Canis lupus familiaris: one gene and its partner. The protein of the gene in region 1 interacts with the protein of each later gene in a biochemical or structural test. Links are inferred from orthologs where the notes say so. Each region holds a gene or a part of one and is shown on either strand. Other genes may lie near its edges.

Evidence for each region. The genes of interacting proteins can lie anywhere in the genome.
Region 2: the proteins of SLX4 (region 1) and EME1 form a complex in vitro, tested with the Homo sapiens proteins (3 studies listed by BioGRID, with this or other methods). The link is inferred for Canis lupus familiaris from reciprocal best matches to the Homo sapiens genes SLX4 and EME1.

What each region holds. Positions count from the first base shown.
Region 1 is NC_049227.1:37,963,548-37,967,196, reverse strand, and holds part of SLX4 (structure-specific endonuclease subunit SLX4), read right to left. Parts: coding exon 3,339-3,649; exon of another isoform or gene 2,580-3,338; intron 1,370-2,579; coding exon 1,270-1,369; intron 733-1,269; coding exon 325-732; intron 1-324. UniProt on the Homo sapiens protein: Regulatory subunit that interacts with and increases the activity of different structure-specific endonucleases.
Region 2 is NC_049230.1:26,299,114-26,302,093, reverse strand, and holds the end of EME1 (crossover junction endonuclease EME1), read right to left. Parts: coding exon 2,914-2,980; intron 2,673-2,913; coding exon 2,557-2,672; intron 1,791-2,556; coding exon 1,601-1,790; intron 1,374-1,600; coding exon 1,197-1,373; 3' UTR 631-1,196; downstream 1-630. UniProt on the Homo sapiens protein: Non-catalytic subunit of the structure-specific, heterodimeric DNA endonuclease MUS81-EME1 which is involved in the maintenance of genome stability. In the complex, EME1 is required for DNA cleavage, participating in DNA recognition and bending.

The DNA.
Region 1 (3,649 bases):
GCAGGAAGCTCCAGGCTGCTGTGTCCTTGGTATGCCAGCTGCCAGCCTGAGCAGGATCTGACCCTCGGCCACAGTCGACTACCGCAGCCAGCCCCCCTCCCAAGAGCATCCGGTGGGGTGAGCACATGGTGCTCCAGGTGCTCCAACGGTCTCCTCAGGAGGCTCACAGGGGACTGCCCTGAGCCCCACTGGGTTTTCCTTGGGTTAAATCCAGAAGGCAATGGGCTTTCTCAACGTCGGCATCAGGCCTGGCTTATGCCAACTCATGGATCCCATGGTCAGGGGACCTATGACACCACTGACCCCATCCTCCCATCTTGTTACCTTTGTGAGCTAAAGGAGCTGTCACTGCTGTCCACGGAGGAGGCCACTGATTCCTGGGACACAGGGAGCTGGGTGTCACCATCAGGATCTGGAGACTCCTCCTTTGCCTGTGACAGGTTCATCGGAGGGATGCTTCCACCAGGCTGCTGCTTTTGATTTCGGGGGCCCTTGGTCTTAGTGGACCCCTTGGACCTTTGGAGAAGAGGCCCAGAAGTGGCCCCGAGCTGGGCACGGCCAGCAGCCCTGGAGGTCCTGCTGGTGTGGGTCTGGCTGCACGGAGCCTCTGGGAGCACTTGTGAGGACTGGCTCTCATTCTCAGAGTCTGACTCCAGAGTCTGGTGAGTATACTGGAATATCTCCTTCAGTTTTAGGACCATCTGGCGTTTGGGTAGAGGGCGGACCCCAAACCTGAAATGGGGAAACAGCACAGAGCAGTTATCAGCAAATTAAATAATGACTTTGTGGAACTGAAATCTTAAATGCCTAACTTTTGTGAGCTTTCAGGGGTGTCTATTCTGCATACAACTGAGCTTACTCTGAAGAATATTCCAGAAAAGCCGTTCCCAGGTTTAGCGATGGTGGTAGTGATAACAGCCCTGGTGCCCAAGGTGATGAGCAGTATTGATTGGGATGTGACAGTTTTGATGGTTTTTTAAAAAATCAGATCTTCTTATTCAGGCTCTTAAGGCCAGGGCCCCGTCTCCATCCACATGGCACATGGAGACCTATCAGCTCATGGGGACCTGGAGTCCCATCTCTTAGCTCCTCAGGGAACTGGAGGTTTGGGGAACAGTGTGGGGAAAGACAGCAGTTGCACACGCTCCCATCCCCCAGGGGCTCCTGCTGCCAGAGCCCCACGGCGGGTCCTTCAGCTCCTGGCCTCAGCCAGGATGGACACATGGGAGGGAGTGGACCACCTGTGGGCAAGTTTTCAGGACCACTTACCTATCCAGTTCTTTCTTCAGTACCGGGGTCTCCATGATGGAGTACCTTGGCATTGGGGTGATGGGCACTTTCGGGGGCAAGTTCTTCCGATGAGCACCTTCTAGGTAGAAAAGAAACATGTTTCAGCACGAGGGACCTGGATTTACCTCTTCTGAGCTCAGCAGTATCACCAAGAAAAATACTGCGTTTGAACAAAGCCCAGCCACCGTTCTGCTCCATGAGAGCGGTACCTCCACCGCCCCTTCACCGAGACTCCCGAACTGTCTTCCCATTGGAAGGCATCACACGTGGTTAGGGCCACAGCCTTGTGCAGTGCTGATGCTGTGGAACAGGGCAGAAGCAGATAGATTCATGACTGTTGGGGGCTCAGGAGGAGGGGCACCGAGTGACTGCTAATGGGCAGGGGAAAACATTCTGGGATTAGCTGTGATGGTTGCCCAATACTACTAAGGTAATAAAAAACACTGAACTGTATGGTTTGGTGGTTTTGTGGCTACCATCTGTCACCATGCGCTGCTGTGATACCAACGACTGTAGTCGCCGTGCTGCTCCTTCATTTCCGTGATGGACTCCCCACCCCCCCATTGCAGGACAGTGTCCATGTACTAAAAACCACTGAATGGTGTATTTTAAAGGGTGAATTTTATGGTATGTGAATAATAGCTCAACAAGGCTGTTATTTTAAAAAAAGGAATCAATACTTTAAAGACAAATGAAACAACTCAGGAATATATAGAGTTCGGTTCTTATCCTTTTTAGGAGGATGGAGCCCTCTGAGACTCCAATGAGAATAGGCTTTCTCCCGAATAAAGCACAGAACTCTTTATATAATTTGCGAAAATCTGTCACCTCCTGGAAGCCCACCTCAAATTCAGACCAAGGTCCCTGGTCTCACAGCACCACCTGGGAACTGGTTAGAAATCCAAATTCTTGGTCTCTACTCTGGAGAGGCGCCTGGCCACGTGTGTTGCACAAAGCTCTCCAGGCAGTTCTGATCCCCATTCAAGGCTGGGAGTGCTGGTCAGTCATGCCCAGCTGGTTTTGAATTTGGGGAGGAAATCAAACACCAGGATGCAGGCAGATCCTCTGCCTACAGTCCGCTTCCCTGCGACCAGTCACAGCTTCGTGGCGCCCTGCCCCTTCCCAGCTTTCCCAGGGGCTGCCTGGCAGGGGCTGACACAGGGGCTCTGATAGTCTCTTATAATGACATGAGCTGGGAAAGTGCACCCTCCATGGGCTTGGGGGTGGCAGATGAGGCAGGGCCGAGGCTCACACAGCAGACGCTTCACACTCACCCCACTGGCTGCTGTTTTAATTGAGAAGAAAATTCACATAAAATTTTAAAGTGAACAATTCAGAGGCACTTAGTATACATTCACAATGCAAGCACCACCTCTAGCTCCAAAGCATTTTCATTGTCTCCTAAGGCAGTTCTATACCCAGCACCCTCCTCATTCTCCCCTGATCCCTGCTCCTGGCAACTTCTCACCCACTTTGTCTCCACAGACTGGCTCACCCTGGACATTCCCTATAAACACAGTGACACGCTGTGGTCCTTTGTGCCTCTCTGAGCATCGTGTGTTCAAGGTTCACCCAGGAGCTAACACCTGTTTTACAGCTGACGATCCTCCACCATATGTATGGACCACATTTTCTTTATCCGTTTGTCAGCTGATGGACTTGTGGCTACTGTGAGGACTGCTGCTGCGAAGTCTGTGTAAGGGATCAGTCCTGATTTCCCCTCCTCTGGATGAGCTCCCTGGGGTGGGACTGCTGGGCCGTAATGGCAGCGCTCCGTGTAACCCTGTGAGGAACCACACTTGCCCGATTTTAAGGTGTTTGCCGTGGCCTCTCAGAAGCACTGTCCACAGCTGGGGGTTTTTAGCAAGGGCCCAGGCAAGCCATGGGATCCAGGCAGGTTTAGGAACTGGTTAAGCAACATGTCTGATGGCAAGCCTGTTCTCCCTCTGCAGGGGAGGGTGGGGAGGGGGCTCGCCACAGCCCTGCCACCCCCTCCAGCCCCTTAGCATAAAACGGCCTAACAGACAACCACCCTCCCCGCTACTCACTTGGCGTCTCCAACCCTTCTGATTTCTGAGCAGCAGCAGCATCACTCAGTGTCTGGGCGGGAGGAAGGAGCTCTGAAGACTTCTGTTCCTCTCCATCCCAATTGTCCCACAGAGCTGAGTTCAAAAAGCTTGGCCTGCTGCTCGACGGCACGCTGGCCCGAGGGGACCTCTCTCGGGACTTTCTCTGGCTAGTGCAGCTCCCTCGGGCAGGGGGGGTGCCCAGGAGGGCCGGAGAGCTGCAGCCACTGCTGTCTGGAGCCTCCCCTGCCTTACTGCCCGGACTGCTGGTGCTCAGGGGGCCTGTCTGCTCA
Region 2 (2,980 bases), on another chromosome or scaffold:
TCATGTGGCTCTCACAAAATGGTCCGGGCTCCTTGCCTCACTTTTAGAGCATTAACTCCCCGCTTGCCAGTAAACAAGGAGGTGGACCGTCAAAGCCATATTGTGACAGCTGTGGGTAGCTGGTGTGACAGAGGCAACCTGAAAACTCAACTTTCACAGAGCTGGAGGTTTAGAATTGTTTAGGTCTAGACCTATAACCACCTCCACAATGAAGGGAAATAGCACCATGGAGCTTAAAAGTGGTGCGTTTACGAACGACTAGCACAGACGGGCAGGACTCTCCATCCTCTTGTCTGCCAGACTAAGCCTTTTCTTGCTCTGTGGCCTCCTTGGCCTTTTTTTCACAAAAGCCAGATGAAGGAATGAGAAATGGTCGTCATGGTGCTTAATCACTGAAAACTCCCAACTGCAAGCTTCTTGTCCCTCCCTCAGGAGAGCAAAAGCTTGTCATAAATCGCCAGGGAGCGGGGTTTGACTGAGCCTTAGTGGCTCATCTGGAGAGGACAGCCCCTAGTGACTGTCCCCATCCCGGGAGTGACTTATTTCTCTCCCCCCCCACCCCAACCCCCTCCCCTGGCAGCTCTGCTGCAATGGCCCACACCTTACTCAGAATCACTACACATTCCTCAGTCTTCCTTCAAGCTCCAGAGCCAGTGGTACAAATGCTTTATTGAAACTACATAGTGTGTAAAATGAAAGAGGGCAGGGAAGTTAGCATAGGGAGGAGACCCCTGCACAGGGGCCAGCTGAGGTGGCCTCAGTGGGTGAGAGGAAGGCAGGGCATGCTCAGCCCCATCCAGCCAGCCTGCTGAGGGAAGTTCACTTGTGATCTCAAGATTTGAAGCTGAGGTTCTTCTGGATTTCTACAATCATTAAATACGTGTCTGAGTGGTCGGTCTTTGTTCATTTGTGTCTTGATGGCTGCTAGGGCAGGGTGATTTGTGTACGGCAGCCAAGTTCCACTGGGAGAGGGACATTAGGGGCTTGGGAAGGGGAACACCAGTATCTCAGCTGTCTGTCTCAAGGTGTTGGGGGTGGGGTGGGGACTGCTGCAGACATGGGACACCCAGGAAGTATGTTTGAGCCTGACCAGGCTTGTGCTTTAGGAAGTGCTTCCAGTCTCTTCCTGTGGTCCTCTTCTGAGCTGGGCGAGGTAGAAATCTCCAGCTTTTCATCCCTGTCCCCAAGGACTGGCATCAGTCTGCAGTGTCTAAAGAGAGATCTGGCTGCAGGGTGGTCATCTGAAGGTAGATCCGCCTGGATAGCTCTGGTCCAATGCGGCGGCAGGTGGATGTCACACCTTCCCCACGGCGCACCTGTATGTCTGCAAGCAGATTCTGGCGTTCTTGCTCCAAAAGACACCGTCTATAAGCCTGGAAGTGGTGAATGACCTCTCAATACTGTATCATCCAGGGTCACCCTGTCCATCAACGAGGGGGCAGTAAGCTTGGGTGGGGGGACGAGAACCTGTCCTCTCCCTGGGTCTGTGTTCACTGATCTCAGCAGGCCCGTGGTGCTGACTACGAGTGCCCTCCACGGAAACTGCCTGGGAGTCCACTAATGCCACAGGGTGTTGGAGGTGACCACTGGAGCAGCCTACCTGGACTAGAAGCTGGGGGGATGGATAGGTGTCCACAATGGCACTGGCCATTTCCAGGCTGACTCGGTTCAGCTGCTGAATCTGCCTCCTCCAGACCAGTGCAAGCCCCCTGCCGGCACGGTCTACCTTTGCCCCTCCAGCCCAGTCACTCTCCAGGCAGAAGGAAAAACTAGTTTGATCTCGGAACTTCCTGTAAAGAGCAGTTGAAGAGTTGTGAGTCACTTGTCACTCCACTTGTCCCCTTCACTGGGAACTTAGAAACCCCTCCACCAACCTCATGAGAGGCAGGCACAGTGTCATATCTGGTCTATGTGAGTGCTTATTTTGTTCCCAAGCAGTGTCCCTTAAGAATGATATCAAGTCCTTTTCATAAAGACACAATGTGCCAGAAAAGAACCAGGTAGTTTCACATGTTGAAACTGCGCTGTATTGACTAGAGAGGCAGTGTGCACAGGGACAACCACTAGGGGCTAGGTGTCAGGCAATCTGAGAGTCTGGTTCCAGTTCCTCTAACTTGCTAGGACCTCAGACAAAGCAGTCTTCAGGCCTCCATTCCCCAAGCATGAAATGGACTCAGACTGGACTGTCTTTAAGTCCGCTACTCATTTTAAATTTTGACCACAAACACTCCTACAGCTGAGTAGGCTAAAAGCTTGTTTTATGAGGGCTTATTACATCGTTACCTGACCTGGGATAGCCAGTAACCTGGCTCACTGGTGACCCAGCACCAGCCTGCAGAACACGAACTTACAGATGAGCTACCGCAGAACATTTTAAAAGGACTGGGCTTGAGGGCTCTTCACAGGCATCCCCAGCCTGGGCTGACTCCTGCCACCAGCCTGGCAGACAACGGGCTGGTGGCAAAGTTCAGGGGAAAGAGACCATAGGTGGGTCCAGAACTGCTATATGGCCCAAGGCCCAGCAGCGGAGCCCAGACTTGCTGGGGACACACTCACTTGAAAGGCGCTTCGGCCACCGCCTTTGTAAACGCGCATGCGAAGTTGGCCAGCTCTTTCCAGCTCTGCACGATTCGGGCCTGGGCTTGTGTGTACAGCTGTAGATCCACCAATGCCTAGAGACCCCAAAGCAGGACGGGCTGGAGGGGTGCAGGGACACTGGTCTGTGGTTCCTCCCACCCACCTGCCAGCCAAACCCAGAGAGAGCCCAGCCCCTTGGCTCCCTGCTTAGCCTTTTCTCTCCTACCCGGTGCTGAAGCAGAAAGGCATGACTGGCTGGCACCTTGCTCATCTAGAGCAAATCAGGTTAGATGAGAGTAGGAGCCCAGCCTGACTCAGGTAATGTGAAGTTCTTACCTCTTCCACATCTACTCTGGACACGGTGCGCCCTGCATTGGCCTCTGGCTGTCTCTGCTGCTTCTCC